Caenorhabditis elegans: one gene and its partners. The protein of the gene in region 1 purifies or fractionates together with the protein of each later gene. This does not show direct contact. Each region holds a gene or a part of one and is shown in the gene's direction. Other genes may lie near its edges.

Region 1 (7,976 bases):
AGAGGAAAAAGAGAAGATGGAAGAAAAAGGCACAAGAAGTATTCAACTACATGCACCAGAGACCCTTCTCTTCTTTCAACTATATGCTTTCAATATCCATCTCATTTTTATGATCATCATAACTTTTGTGCTCCACGTTCGGTTTTAACTTTGCCCAGTTTTAAATTACGTTCCTCTTGCCTTCCAGTTTTAGAAATTCAGAAGCTCTATAGATGTAGGACTCTCATAAGCCACAAATATCGTACCTCTTCAGAAAACCTTAAAAATTTCCGAAATATTGTTATTTGAAGAACACATGTTTCAAGACATGAAATTTGAAAAACGCCAGAAATTCCGTTTTACCAGAAATTGAATTTATCAATTAGCTTTGAATTTATCGATTTGTTACTTTCAAAAAGCCAAGATTTTGTACACCTAGATTCGAAATTTTGCGATTTTCGACGAGGAAATACGGTACTTTGCGTTTAAAAAAACGTAAAATTCTTTGGATAATAGTAATTCAAACCTAAAACCTAAATAAATTTTAGATGTTTCAAAACTTTCAGTCAACTTTTTGGTAAATTGCCAAATTCTAAGAAAATGTGGGCTTTCCCAGCAATTTTGAGCATAAATGTAAATCTAATTTCTAGAAAGTTGTTAGTTTTTTTAATCCGAAAAAAAACTCGTAGAAATAATTTGTTCATTTTTAATAGAGAATCCTCCAAAATTATGATAAGGACTGATATTTTTTGACAGTGAACAATAAAATTTCAATTAAAAAAATTATATATCTATGATAATTTGGCATTTTGGCGAGAATAGTTTCTATCAATTTGTTTAACTAGCAAAATACGACCAGTTTGAAAATTTCATTAAGACAATCCAGATACTCTTGAAATAGATATTCTGGGAATAGTTTCATTTGAAAATAAACGGTATCCTTTAAACGATCAAGGCCGTTACTTATAACTTATAAAATTATATTTTACAAATAGTTATCTGCAAGTATCTACCCATTGACATCCTTATTTAACTCATTTCTTCTTTTTTCTTCTTACAATAATAATAATGTGTTCAGGATGGTCACAGTGATACCAAAAATAATAAGTTCTCCATATCCTCGGACACGCCTACCACTGTACCTCTACACTGTTTCCATCGTAAGAATTACCAATCAATAGAAAATTCAAGTTTACACCTATAATTCTAGATTATTTCCTGCTCTTTATTATACTGGAATCTTCTTTACTGCAAAAATTATGACTGTGTCGTTGAGAAGGAATTTCGATGGGGAAGTACTCGGCACTTACTACAGGTATCATACAATTTGGTACCATAAAGAAATGACATAACTTTCAGTACTTTCCGGTGATAGCAGCTCCGATTATAATGGTAATATCGTTTTCTTGGTTAATAATTGCAATATATTATTCAAGTAGTTCATGTGTTCTTACATTCAATTTTATGGTAAGTTTTATAGGAAGGAGGAATAAAATAAATATTGAAATTAAAGGAAATGCCATCTGCAGTACTTTGTTCTCTACTTGGTGGTATTAGTTCTGTAATAGAAATTCATTTTTCCATTGAAGTAAATCAAGTTCAATGGACTGATCAGTGGTTACTGTCATCTGTGGGTTTACCAATCAACGATTGTTTAAAAATCGATATTTTCAGGGATCTTCAATACTTTTATGCCTTTTACATGCTACAATTGCGTTCACACTTCAATAATCCTTCCAACATATTTGAATTTCCAATCTTCTTCAAATCGATGTGAAAAAACTTGTATCATTGTTTTTATCAAATATGAAACATTTTATAGGAATCAAAAATATTATGTGAACTGTGATATTTACTCTTGCTCAATTCATTTCATGTAAATATTATTTTGATACTCATTACTGGCATAAATTATATTTTCGAAATTCATGTCACGAGCGCGGATGATGAGGGACAATTCGAATTAATTCTCTTTTTCTCAACAAAAACAATTAAATTTTGAACCTCCCTCCGTTTTCTTTGAAAATGGCCTAGAATTGTGATGGCCGTGGACTAGCATTTTCCCTAGCACGACGGCGGGAATTGTCTGCGTCATCTTCGTCTTGCACGCTCTCTCGTTACCCCCCGCTGTGGTTATTATACCGTTTACCACCTTAATCCCTTCAAAACGCTTTTATAATTTCACATAATCTCTTCTTAGAAATCTCAATCGTTTATTCAGATGGGAAATCGATCAAAGACAGACAATGCAACTGCCGTGGCATCGCAACCACCCAAAAAAGTTAAATCGTAAGTTTTCTTTCCTATTTTCAAAACTAATATATCTGAAATCATCAACATTTTTAGGAAAAAGCAAAAGAAAATGAGCTTTTCACAAGCACAAGACGTATATCTTCGTCTGAAGCAAGAAAAAGAAGAGGAGAAACAACGAGAGCGAGCCGAACGAGAAAAGCGAAATGAGACGATTGCAGCGACAAATAAATCAAGAAAGAAGATGAATCAGGCATTGGCAAAAAGAAATAAAAAAGGACAACCAAATCTGAATGCTCAAATGGATGTACTTCTCGAGAGGATACAGAAAAGAGTGGATAAGGAGAAAAAGGAGAAGAAATGAACTAATTGTTTTGTCTTTTATATTTTCAGATTTTTTTTGTTGAAATGAAATTGTTGTGTTTTTAAAAATCGATAGTTTTATCGTTTCTTCGTTTCTTACCGATAGTATACTTTATTTTCTGAAATATAATTCAATTATTTATTAAAAACCTTTTCAGCCTTCAGATGGCTTCCGATGAAAATATCGGTGCCGACGGTGAACAGAAGCCTTCTCGGCCGTTTTTGAGAAAAGGACAAGGAACAGCAAGATTTAGAATGGTAGTTTGTGCAAATACAAGGCTTATCGAAATAATATATGAAGTTCAGCCTAGAAACAACAAAACATCTGCTGGTGCACCTCCAACGTCGGAACTTTCATCTGCTTCAAGTCCTTCTATTAATGTTCCTAGGTTTAGTCTGTCGGTAAGTAAAATATCTTAAATACAAACGTTATAAAACTGTGGTGACTAGTTAAATATAAATATTAAGTAGAATTATTCCAGAATGCTCTCCCGAACTCTGCCCGAACCGTGGACAGTGGAATATCAAATGAAGACGAGACCCGTCCACCAACCACCGCATCTCTTCCAATGGATCAACCATCATTGTCATCTTCGCCGGAAAATCGTCTAAATCCCGCACCTTCCGTTGCTGAAGAGCATGGCCACAGTGGACAGCACGCTGAAGAAGAAGAAGACAATGACACGGATGAAGTATCTGCAATGCCTTCTTTTGTGCCTGATGAACCTTCGACTCTTGTTAATTCAGATCATGAATTGTCTGATGATGCTTTAAAGTATAAAAATGCAGCTGCCGAATTCAAAGCTTTTGAGAGAAGAATGGATTCGGTAAGAACAGCCAAATCAGAATGATAATTGAAATTTTACATAGAATAGATTTACGTATCAAAAATCAAAACCTACGAATACTCTCTAATTCAAAATTTAATTAATTAAAATTAAAGATGAGATCAGCTTCAACAATCACAACATCACTGGCAACGCCATCATCTTGTGCACCATCAAACTCCTCTGAGCCTCCTACTCGGTCTACACCAATTATGAACGATTTAGGCGTTGGCCCAAATAATCACAATTGGCCGTCTTCAATGCAAGAATTATCAGGAATTTCTCTGGAAACACCACAGGCTCGACCGCTTGGCAGCAATAGAATTAATCAGCTTGGTAGGTTAATAACAAAAAAAACATGATTGATTAGATTTTTAGTTCGAAGTGAGGCTCAAACGGGAATAAGCCTTTTACAACACCATGAAAGACCTACTGTGACCGCCCCATTGAGACGAAATGATATGATGAACTCATCACGACAGAATCCACAGAATGGAAATGTTCAAGATGAAAATCGACCCGAGCACGTTTATGATCAACCAATACATGTTCCTGGATCATCACTGGACCGACAGAAACTTGAAATTGAAATTCGACGTCATCGTAACTTGAACATACAACTGAGAGACACTATTGCTCACTTGGATTATGCAGAAGAATCCGTGCACACCACAAAACGACAGCTCGAAGAAAAAATTTCCGAAGTCAATAATTTTAAGAAAGAACTGATAGAAGAATTTAAGAAATGCAAAAAAGGAGTTGAGGAAGAATTTGAGAAGAAGTTTGAGAAAATTAAGGAAGATTATGATGAACTTTACGAGAAATTGAAGAGGGATCAACGAGATCTTGAACGAGATCAGAAGATATTGAAGAAAGGAACGGGAGAAAGGAATAAAGAATTCACAGAAACGGTAATTAAGAATTTAAGCAAGAAATAGTTATTCGAGAAAAACCACGAAATTTCGATTGAAAATTTTTCTCAAAGCAAAATCTAAAATTTTCATTGAAATAAATTGAGAATTTAAAAAGTTGAAATTCTATTATAAAACCTTTAATTTAAAATCCAGCAAAACTTGTCAAATTTCAGATAGCCACTCTCCGCGACAAATTAAGAGCATCAGAAACCAAGAATGCACAATATCGACAGGATATACGTGTTCGAGACGAAAAGCTCAAGAAAAAAGACGAGGAAATCGAGAAGCTTCAGAAAGACGGAAACCGGCTAAAGAGCACTCTACAGACTTTAGAAAAGCGCGTAAAACAATTACGTACTGAAAAAGAACGCGACGATAAAGAAAAGGAGATGTTCGCGAAGGTTGCAATGAATCGAAAAACTTCGAATCCAGTGCCACCAGTTTTGAATCAAAGTGTTCCAATTTCGATAACATCAAATGGTCCATCTAGACATCCATCATCATCTTCGTTGACAACATTTAGAAAACCATCTACATCAAATCGAGAAAGAGGTGTTAGTTGGGCAGATGAACCAAATGAACAATCATTGGAAGCTGTACCACAGGAGTTTTTGATGGTAATATTTAGATCAAAGCAGGGTTTTTTTAAAATTGTTTTTAGAATATTGCTCTGAAAAAATCAATTCAAAAAAAATTTCAAATTATTTTTTCTTCCCGACTAAAAAATTAATATTTTTGAAAAATAGTTTTTTAAGTCTAAAAATTTACAGCTTACTATTAGCATTTGCCGAAAGTTCCGATTTTTCAAAATTCCCAGAATTAAAAATCAATAGTTTTCGAGTTACCGAAAATTGTCAAAAAAAAATTTTAAATCATGCTTTTTGAAGATGCCAGTCAAAGAAATGCCGGGAAAATTTGGAAAATGCACGATCTACAGAGATTCTCTTGGAGAAACATCTAAAGTGACGGATACAATAGCTAACGGTCTTCTTTTCGAATATTCCAATGGAGATCTTCGATGGGTTAATCGGCAGAACGCTGTTAATGTAAGTTTTAATTGGAATTTTGTCAATTAAAGTGACCAATTTACAGATCTACATATCCGCAGTTGATAAAACAGTCAGAATTGATCTCCCCACATACAATATTTCAATTATTCATACATTTCAAAGGCAAGTTGAAGTACTTCGTCCTGGAAATAACATAACATTGATAAGTATTAAACGACGAGAAGTTCGAACTGATTTGATTTATCAAAACGGAATGTATAAAACTGAAATGTAAGATTATTTTCTTTTTTAAAGTTCATCGGAAATTTCGTATTTCAGCTTCAATAGGGACGGAAGATATGTTACGAAGGATTTTAGCAATCAAGAAGTTTCGAGAAAGTGAGTCTCTATTCATTTTCCAATTAATTATTCAGAAAAACCATTAAAATCTCAAAACTATTACCCAGATGTTTAATTTAATTTAATTTAATTTATTACGATAGAAGATATCGTTAGGTAGAAAAAAAAACACACACACATTAATAGATACAAACCATCACAAGTGGTTACATAAATAAATTACATAAATAAAACGAAACAAAAATAAAAAAAGAGATGTGACATTTTGCGGCAAAAAATGTCTCGGCACGATAAAATTTAGTTAAATGGGAAAAGGCGTGCGCCTTTAAATATTACTGTAGTTTAAAAATCGCGTTACTGTCGAATTGTTGTTTGCCCCTTTTTTTTTTGATAAAAACATGTTTATTAGTTTAGAAAAAAGATAAATAAACCAAACTACAACAGTCTTTATAGGCGCACGTATTTTCACATTTAAAAATCTGTCCTTTAACGAAAAAATTGTAAAATTTGGCGCCTTCAAAGAGTACTGTAATTTCAAACTCAATTTGAAACAGAATTTTCATCGATTTTCCTTAGTTAGTTTTTCGATGAATTTTAATTTATTCATTAAAAAAACTCAAATAAGTATAACGATATTTTAGCAAATAATATATTTTCAAACAAAACATGTTTCTATAATTTTTGTCTAACCCAAAATTTAGGAATATGACCTCAATTCTTCAAAAAGTTAGTAAAACAGGTTTAAAACCCCGTTATAAATATTTTTGCCTCTGAAACCTATCAAATTTTCAGATACAATCCCGGTACACACACATATCGCGACAATCAATGTCGCTACGTTCTCGTCACTGATTACAACGATTTTGAGCTCGTTGAGCCAGAATTCCGTCTTCGTTGGTATCAGGGAGATCCGACTGGTCTCAACAATCAGTATATTCTCAAGATCATTGGACGACCTGAATGCAGCGAGAAAACATTGAGACTTGAAGTGAATCTTTCCACGTGTGAAGGTACATTGGAAACTGCAGAGATGATAGGCGATAAACGTCGGAAAACAACTTTGTTCCAGTGGAAAAAATGAGAAATTCCAACCCCTTTATTTTAACTTGTGGTTTGTATATCTATTCCATTGACATTATTTTTCACTCCTGAGTGCTCTAAAATTATAATTAATTCTACCTCCTGTAAAATCATATCAAATAATTCAATCATTTTTTACTATCTCAATTTTCACTTGCCCCCTCCCCCATTTCTTTCATATTGATCTTCATGGTTATTTTATTGACTGTTATAAACAATTTTAACTTTAAATGTTCTGCACAAAATTCGGGATTCAGATTGCAAAGATTTATTGGAACACTGGAGACATTTCAAGATGATCTCGGATCTTCTGCACGACTCGACGGACTCAAACTTTGAACATTTTCGTGTGAGATTTTCTTTTCTTTTTCCGCACTTTTCTTCTCTTTCTTCTCCTCACCACTTCCATCTTTCTTCTGATCATCTACATCCAGGAGCAGCATCTTGTGACGTGTAATCTTTAGATCACTGAGACGAGTTTTCGAATCGCCGACTTCAAGAGGAGCCTACAATCATCCTTATCTTTTTATATTCAGAATATCAAAAAACTAACCGGGTCACCTCGACCAGAAAACTCGCCTTCGCCTTCTTCACTCGATGATTTCTGAGTTCTCAGAGTAATCATATGGGTCTTACCGCTGACACCAAGAAGCGTGTAGAGTCGAGCCATCAGATCGTCTGAACGATATAATTGTTTAAAAATCTTAGATTCTTAAGCTTACGATAAGTGGCATCCGTTGGAAGGCTGACAACGACTGGCTTTGAAAGGTACAAAAAGTACCAAAGACGTTGATCCGGAACCTTCTTATGTCGACGAGTCCTTCCACTTTTTGATTTGTTCACAGATCCTTTCCGAGTAGCACGAGTACTTCCTCGAATCTTTCCACGTTCAGCTCCATTATTCGACAATTCTCCAGTATGCTCAGCAATTTGTTGCGGTGAGACTTCACGCGTAAAAGCATTTGACGGAGATGTCGAAGTGGCACAAGACGAGTGGTTTTCTGAAAGATTGAACTCTTTTTATCAGATTTCTGATCAATTTCTGTTACCTTTTGGCTGAAGTGGACTACACACCAGACAGTAGAAGTGCCCACAATCAAAACGATCCAAATTGTTTAACCCAATGATTAACTGGAATAATTGGTTTGATCTTTCAAAAACCTGCATTTTGTAAAACAATCTTACTTTCTTGCATGCATCACATTGTAATGAAA
Region 2 (3,796 bases), on another chromosome or scaffold:
GAGAATACACGCTCCAATATCTCTTGGGACCGCTTTCACGATGAATTGAGAAATGAGGAAAAAGGCGTGGGCATCAACATTTTTTACTGAAAAAAAGGAAATTGGTTAGCCAACTTAGCAGGTGGAAGATGTTGGGGAAATATATAAGACCCTGAAAATAAAATCACCTGAAATCTTCAAAAGTTAAATTGAATCAAAAATTGAGTTTTTATTTTTGGTTATTTTTTTGCTGAGAATTTCGTTGAATATCATGGTAAGGATTTGGATTTTGAAAATTCAAAATGTGTTATCAACCCAAAGATCAGTTCCTGAAAAAAGGAGATGTTTGAAAAACAAACGTTTACAAACAGGAAAAAGGTCATATTAATATCCGATTAAATTTTTGCCTTGAACTTTAAAACTACTTTGGAACTTATAACTAAACTTCCGTCAAATTGAAGATATGAAATGAGATGCTTTCTTGTCGGAATATTCAAAAAATTTGAAAAATATCTAGTGAAACATTTTTTAGAGATTTTTGATAGGGCCGAACAGAGTAAGATGGGTTTTTCATGTTTTTTCATGCATAGTTATGCTGAAGCCAAAGACCTGTGCGGCAATAGATTAAAAATATATTTTCAAAATCATTCCTAAAATTTAACTCTTTCACGGATTTTAAAAATCATTAAATTAATTTATTAACTTTCTGAACTTTATGTGACGTGGCTATTGTAAAGATCTGGGACAAAGATAAGAGAGAAATTTGCTATAAATTGAGCAGAGTTTACCATAATCTTCACTGTAAGTTTCCACACTCTACAAAGAAGTCGCCAGTGCCCAATCCGTCCCACCAGGAGATATCCAGACCCAGCCGGGTACGAAGATCGTCTTCAATGCACCATACGATGACAAGCACACCTACCACATCAAGGTGATCAACTCCTCGGCTCGCCGTATTGGATACGGTATCAAGACCACCAATATGAAGAGACTTGGAGTTGATCCACCATGTGGAGTTTTGGACCCAAAGGAAGCAGTCCTTCTTGCTGTTTCCTGTGATGCCTTCGCCTTTGGACAGTAGGACACTAACAACGACCGTATTACTGTTGAGTGGACCAACACCCCGGATGGAGCTGCAAAGCAATTCCGCCGTGAATGGTTCCAAGGAGACGGTATGGTTCGTCGCAAGAACCTTCCAATTGAGTACAACCCATAGAGCCCTCTTCGACCTTGCTCAATAAATGAATTTTGAAAGCTCGTTGTTTTTTCTCTTGTTAAAAATGTTTAGGTTTAAAAGTGCACCAAATTTGGTGGAGGTAGAGGTCCACTCCCAACCGAGTTCAACCCAAAGAAGGCTTGATAAGAAAACCCTCGAGTACAATCCATAGAGCCCTGCTTGATCTTATTTAATGAATGAATTTTGCAAGTTTCATTCTTTTGCTCTCTTCAAAATTTCAGCTTTTAAAACGTTTTCAAATGGTTTACATTTAACCCACAAGAGGCCGCTTGATATCTCTTCTCTGTTCATTGGCAAAGGCATAATACAATGACTTGAATCCTCTTTGTCTAAACTTGGTATATCCGATTGTGTGTTGGAAACGAGGTGTGGTCGGTTTGTTATGTATGACTTACGACCACTGGACGCAAAAGGTTTTATAATGCTCACCGATTTGCAGCAGCAGGTGCGGCGAGATTTCCTTCAAATTCATGATATGGAAAAATGCATTCCGATTAATTACTTGTATGATTTCGCAAAAAAATATGCTTACAGTAAAGAGCACTTGTATAAACAGAACTCCAATTTTGTTTTGAGGAAAGTTTGAATTTATGTATGTTTTAAAAATTTTCAGTATGGAAAGTTCAACTTTGTTTTTCCGTTGAATTTCTGTTCAATCTGTTCGTTTCAATAATTTTCATTTGAACACGATTAGTCATCGCTGTGCGTCAGCTTTTTTTGTTTCAAATTCCATAATAGAATGTGTTCAAATAGATGCTATAAAACCAAAATTTTGAAGAAAATTCACTGCAAAAACATGAATTATTTATTCGCTTTGGTTCTGTTACCACTTCCTGTTTCAATTTTGGGAAAAAGTAGGAAACATAAAAACATTTTTAATTTAACTATATCTATTAGTTCCAGAATGTTGCCAATTCCCGGCTTATTCATTTTCCGCTATGACAAATGTTACAAAAGAAGACTTTAAATGTTCTGAACCAGTTTCAGTGCTTTGTCAAATTGACACTAATGGGAGTGGATATGTTGCAGTTGGAATTTCTGGAAATTTAACGGAACAGGCAGATACAAAGCCTTTAGTCGTGAGAAAACTTTTTTGAATTTTAAAAATATACTTTTTCGAGATCAAAAAAGGTTCATCTTCAATCTCGGCGTCTCTTGTATGCGACACTTCTTCTCAAATGTGGAAAGTTGATAAGAAATCCGATAAATATGACAATATTGGTTGTATCATGAGATCTACTGGCGGAGTTTGGATTGTTTATTGAGTATTTGGAATAAAATATATTTTTCTTTCAAAAATAGGAAAATGAGTAATAAAATAAATACTAAACTTCACAGTACATTCATTTAAAAAAAAATATTTTTCCCAAGTTTTGACTGAAATTTATGAAGAAAAAACCATTAATTGGAACCGAAATGCATAATGATTGTGTCTGAATACCCTAAAAGATCACATTTAAACATTTTTCAGAATATTTTGAACAACAAAAGTGCACTACAAGTTACTTGCCTTTAAGTTGACCTACGCCTCTAAAATTAGGCGTTTCGGTGCCTAAGCTAAATAAATATTTTACCGATGTATTCAATATATTCACAAACTTTAATTGTCAAGTTTCTCAGAGTAACACAAATTAATTTATTTCCGGACATAGATTTAAAATTTTAACAAATCATTAAAGTCTTGTTGGCAATTTTAGTTCACTCTTTCCATCTGAAAAAGTCACACATTTGTTTTTAAACAATTTATACTTCAAAACTTACAAATACAATTCTCTGGTGATCCTGCCCATTTTCCTGTTTTCAAGCACTTATAGATCTTCACAGGTTGCAGTGCAATTTCAAAAACATAAGATTGCGGGCAAACTTGAGTGATGAGCTCTCCGACAGAATAACTGCTTTTGATTTGTGAAGAAGTTGGACTGGAAGTGTAGGTCAAGTTCAGGGATGGTTCGATGCAAGTGATAGAGGAATTTGTGTTGTTGTAAGAAACTGTGAATGTTGATGGTGATGTTGATGAATCAGAAGATCCAGAAGATGAATTGGTTGGAAGTGTTGAGCCCTGAAAATTGATTTTTCCTGGCTTTTCCAGTGATTTTTCTATATAACTTACAGATTTGCCATTGTTAACTGCTTGAGTTGTTCCATTTGCTGCAGACGTTGTATTTTGCGAGAAATTTTTCCCGGAAGATGTTGTCCCTCCTGATGAGTTTGAAGGTTTTGAGGTAAAAGTCACCTATAAAAATTTGATACCTAAAATAATACTTGTATGTGAAGTTACATTCCCTCCAAATGCACTTGAAATTGTTGCTGATGTCGTTGAACCTGAATTAGTTTTTATTTGTAAATTGGTTTTAATAATCCTTTGGGCTACCTGTTAATTTTCCTGAAACAGTTGAAATATTTTTTCCTGAAGTTGTAGACGGACCAGAGGTTGTTGATTTTGTGCTTCCAGATGTTGTAGAAGGACCGGAAGTTGTTGAAGGTCCAGATGTTGTGGATGGACCTGATGTAGTGGATACAGTACTTCTAGAAGCGGTCGATGGCCCTGAACTAGTAGACGGACCAGATGTTGTTGATTGT
Region 3 (4,373 bases), on another chromosome or scaffold:
TTAAATTTGTAATATACGGAGGTCGTATCGAAAATGATTTTGATTTTAAAGTATTGGATTCATATTTGAATGTTCTCTTTTGTGATGAAAAAATTAATGGAAGAGCTGGATCACAATTGGTGAAAGGGATTGATTTATTGGCTACTACTAATGTTCAGGTACACTTATATTTTGGTTTTTTTTGGGAACTGAGAGAATTTTAAGTTCAAGATTTTGACCATTTTATAGGAATATATTGGCCACATTTCTAAATCAGTTCCATCAGTTGATGAGCCTTATCTGTTTGGACTACCGGAAAATATTAAATATTCGTGGCAAATTGTTGAAGCTGATCGAACAATTTCATCTATTCGAACTCTTGGTAAGAAGATCAGATTACTCGGGGTTTGAAGGTGGAGCAGCGTGTGTGGAATTTTTTGCGTAATATTACAAAAACAGGCTCAATAAATACAATAAAAAAGAAGAGTAAAACATTTTTATGATTTTTTTAAATTTTTCAAAAGATAAAAAAGGCTGAAATGCTGTGGAATTCCCGCGTTTATTATCGCCGAAAAATGTATAAAAAATAATTTTTAAAAATTAAGAAAAAAGCAAATTCAAAAATAATTCATCCCTTTTGATTAATGGATATAGTCATGGAAATATTCGTCAAAAAATTAGAATTTTTTAAAAATTTTTACAGCTATATTCGGTATAGTGAGACCATTTTCTGTCATTTCGGGTATCCACTGACGCTACTCCGCATTCACAAAGTTTTTGAATGTTTTATTGAATTTATTACAAATTTGCACAAGTATTGAACTATTTCAGCACTCGGTGATACAAAGAACGCCTTGTCCGACCAATCAGATAAAATTTCACAAATAGTGTCGCTTTGGAAGAAGCTCTGCCAATCTGATGATCTACCAAAAAGAGAACTTCCGACAGCAATCCGATCTGCTGATCCGATTTCCGAAGTCCTTTGTCTGGAAACTATAAACGCTCTTTCTCTTATAAAACAACTTCATCGAAGCATTGGTCACGTGGCAAAATCGATGAAAACCCCTTCGTTGGCTTCTCCAGCCGTTCAGAAAACTATTCAATCACTTGTATTTCAACAGACACCTGATGAATGGGATAGCATGTGGGCGGGACCAAGTGATCCTGCAGATTATTTAAATGTTGTTGTTAAGAAGACACGTGGAACATTGCAGGTAACAGTTTTGAAAATAAAAAATAAAAAAACATGACTTTATTGCTGTCAACTTAAAGTTGGATTTTTCATTCTTTGGCAATATGATTTGTATTTCTTTTGTGGTATTTCAAATTTTAAAACAGTTTTGATTTTTTTAAAACTAAATCCCCATTCCCCATACTCCACATTTAAACAAACTTACAATTTACACAATAAATATACATTTCTTCAGCTGTTCGAATCGTCAAAATCATCTTCTCTGCTCTCATCCCCAATTGATTTTTCGGACTTGTTCTATCCAAACATCTTTTTAAATGCACTCCGTCAAACAACATCTCGTCAAATAAAAATTCCATTAGATCAACTGATCTTATCATCAGCATGGACTCCTTCTCAACTACCAGCTAAACAATGTGTTCAAGTTCAAGGGCTCTTGCTTCAAGGAGCAACGTTTGATTCATTTCTTCGTGAAACTACAGTATCCAGTGCTGCTTATTCTCAAGCTCCTATAGTTTTTCTTGCATGGACATCTGAAAGTTCTTCAACGATTACTGGAGAGCAGATTCAGGTACCAGTGTATAGTTCAAGTGAACGATCTGATTTGATATGCTCGGTTAATATGCCATGTCGTGGAGCCGATCAATGGAATATTGCAGCTGTTGCATTGTTTTTGAGATGATTTTAATTTTTTAACCGTGATAAAGTTTTAATAAATATTATTTGGAGATTGAGTGATTGTTTTATTAATTGATTAGAATATATTTCTAACTACAACAGTAATACAATACACCAAACTTGCGGCGCTTTGGAAATCGAGTCCCTGCCTTCTCCAGAAGTCAAGAGAATACAAATAATTATTTAGACGTAACCACGTAGAATTTGTAACATTGATAACGAAAATTTCAAAAATCCAGCATCATTATTTTTTTCAATAGAAGACAACAATGGAATGTGCAATTTTGTAAGTTTTGTGCTCAATCTCAGTTCTATGTGCAACTATGTGAACAAGTTATTTAAGCTTGCTCTACATATCAAATTTGTGGGGCGTTTTCTGGGCGAGAGGCGGGCGGACATCGTGCCCTCTGAAATAAATAGATCAATCTCAAGAATACTTTCCATTTTAGAGTATTATCTTGTATTCTATCAGTACGTCTCGCAGATGGATCTCCTGAAACCCAAATGGATTCATTGGCCGGTTATCAGAAAAGTGGAAAAGGTCCAACGGTGAGAAAATCGATGAATGTTAAAAATCAATTATTTAATACATCACAGGTAATCTTTATCAATCATTTTTACACATTACCAATGGAATCATATCCACACAAGATAAATGGACCGACAAAAGAAATTCCTCCAGATGAGCGCTTTTTGTTGGTTCGTTCCTTGTTATTTGGATGTTTAAAGCAATTTTATGATCATGAAGTGCCCAGTTTCAAATCTTCAAAATCCACAAAGTTTACTGAATCCAAAATTTTCAGCCCGACTACTTGACATACATGTATTGCATTTTTCTAACAATATTCTCAATTATCATTCTCCTCCATCTCCTTCGTCGTCGCCCAATTGATCATTTCACTGGATTAATGCATACACCATGGAATAAGGAAGAAGAATCGCAATTTGTCGAGATGAAAGATGCCTGGAAATCTGATTCCTCAAGACATTTCTTTTACAAGCATTGGACAAATCACGTGTCAACATCTCAGAAGCTTAGTGAAACATTCGAAAGAGATTTCGATCCAGTTCTTGAGGGAATGAGCGATAATGACTATGCAAAGGTAAGAACATAAATTAAATTAAATTTTCAATTTTATTTCATTTTTCAGAAAAAGAAATTGATTTTGGACATAATGCGATTAGTCAGAAGAAATGAACTCGTAGATGATGACAATTGATAGAACTTGTTAGAAATTACTTATTGGAATAAATAAAGTTTTCGTAACATTTAATGAATTTACCTAAATATGAAACCTGAGAACATTTATTTTTCAATACTGAGGGGCTTCCATAGCCATTGATTTTTTTGGGTGAATGAAAAGATTTAGCAAAACAATTTTCCAAGAAAACATTTAATTGTTTTTTAGATTATTTTAAAAGTTAAATTATTTTACCGAAATGGGCAAGTTTGTTGCTTTTATGAAGACTCCTGACTCCAAGGTTTTTCAATATAACGAAAAATAGTCATTACAGACTTTATTCGTAAAAAGCAAGAAAATAACATAAAGCATTGAAAAAAAAAGAGATTTTGAAGTTAGATTATTAGTTCTGGAAAATGAATTTATTATCGAGAACACCAGAAAGATTTTCCTTGTTTTCCTGCTTTTCCTCACTATTTACAGACTTCTCGACACATGAGGAGTCTTTCATTTCCAATTCCGATTGAAGAAGTGCCATTTCGAATTCCATCTTTTCAATTACTTTTTTCATCGAACCAATTTTCCGTTTATACTTCTCAATACTTTCTTTTTGTCGATCATCATTCTCTTCCATATATTTGACCATGTCTTGTTGATCCAATGCATAATCACGAAGCTTTTCATACTTTTCACTCCATTTTTGTTCAATAGCATCTTTCCATTCTTCTAATGGATATTCTTCTGGAGCTTCAACCTTTTTTCTCATTTCAATCATCAATTGATCGTTGATCTCCATCAACACTTTTACCATTGGATGGTCATGAATTGAATCTTGAGATTCTGTTGATCCTTCCTTTTCGACTTCCTGAATAGTCTTCATCTTCCGATTCTCACATCGACGCATTTGAACTTGTCTCTCCAAATCTTGAATTTGAAGTCTCATGGTGTTCTTCTCCACTTCATTACAAATGTTTGTCAGGTACCTCTCGTCCATCAACTCTTGAACTTTTCGAATTTGACGATTACATCCTGGGCAGTACATTTGATTCGAGCTTTGTGGTGGATTATAGCGTTGCATACTTCTTTTTAGTGTTGAGTTTCTGAAATAAATAAAAAATATAAAAATTAATGTGTTCCAAAAAAAATAAAAAATAAGGAAAACAAGAACAAAGATGGGTAATGTTTGATTGAGCACAGTAGCAGTCGATATATCGGAGACGAGCGTTTTCGTGTCGAGACCCAAAGCTGCAATCGATAATGTAGTGCTGTAACTAGCAAAAAGAATGGCATAGGAAAGGAGAACATCTGCTCCGATGACATCATTTCTCTCTTGCTATGAGATC

The links. The genes of interacting proteins can lie anywhere in the genome.
Region 2: the proteins of sas-4 (region 1) and F59A6.12 fractionate together in Caenorhabditis elegans (co-fractionation; one large-scale study listed by BioGRID). This does not show direct contact.
Region 3: the proteins of sas-4 (region 1) and F18C12.4 fractionate together in Caenorhabditis elegans (co-fractionation; one large-scale study listed by BioGRID). This does not show direct contact.

Annotation. Positions count from the first base shown.
Region 1 is NC_003281.10:8,313,363-8,321,338, reverse strand, and holds sas-4 (Spindle assembly abnormal protein 4), read left to right. Parts: upstream 1-2,750; 5' UTR 2,751-2,757; coding exon 2,758-2,850; intron 2,851-2,898; coding exon 2,899-2,994; intron 2,995-3,074; coding exon 3,075-3,419; intron 3,420-3,535; coding exon 3,536-3,755; intron 3,756-3,797; coding exon 3,798-4,330; intron 4,331-4,506; coding exon 4,507-4,950; intron 4,951-5,220; coding exon 5,221-5,379; intron 5,380-5,425; coding exon 5,426-5,613; intron 5,614-5,661; coding exon 5,662-5,721; intron 5,722-6,474; coding exon 6,475-6,763; 3' UTR 6,764-6,990; downstream 6,991-7,976. Other genes in the region: F10E9.10 (uncharacterized protein), read left to right, coding at 1,059-1,139, 1,190-1,294, 1,339-1,446, 1,493-1,609, 1,654-1,710; F10E9.11 (rRNA-processing protein FYV7), read left to right, coding at 2,201-2,268, 2,326-2,593; F10E9.2 (uncharacterized protein), read right to left, coding at 7,053-7,268, 7,316-7,440, 7,485-7,763, 7,812-7,893, 7,948-7,976. UniProt on the Caenorhabditis elegans protein: Required for centrosome duplication. Plays a central role in determining centrosome size.
Region 2 is NC_003280.10:5,010,273-5,014,068, reverse strand, and holds F59A6.12 (C6 domain-containing protein), read left to right. Parts: upstream 1-1,990; 5' UTR 1,991-2,012; coding exon 2,013-2,070; intron 2,071-2,119; coding exon 2,120-2,295; intron 2,296-2,337; coding exon 2,338-2,481; 3' UTR 2,482-2,546; downstream 2,547-3,796. Other genes in the region: F59A6.3 (Sushi domain-containing protein), read right to left, coding at 2,890-2,927, 2,978-3,275, 3,327-3,449, 3,495-3,538, 3,588-3,796.
Region 3 is NC_003279.8:8,059,539-8,063,911, reverse strand, and holds F18C12.4 (Small integral membrane protein 29), read left to right. Parts: upstream 1-1,944; 5' UTR 1,945-2,118; coding exon 2,119-2,135; intron 2,136-2,298; coding exon 2,299-2,398; intron 2,399-2,446; coding exon 2,447-2,548; intron 2,549-2,652; coding exon 2,653-2,952; intron 2,953-3,000; coding exon 3,001-3,069; 3' UTR 3,070-3,123; downstream 3,124-4,373. Other genes in the region: che-3 (Cytoplasmic dynein 2 heavy chain 1), read left to right, coding at 1-158, 229-361, 811-1,193, 1,407-1,853; K04G2.10 (uncharacterized protein), read right to left, coding at 3,434-4,108.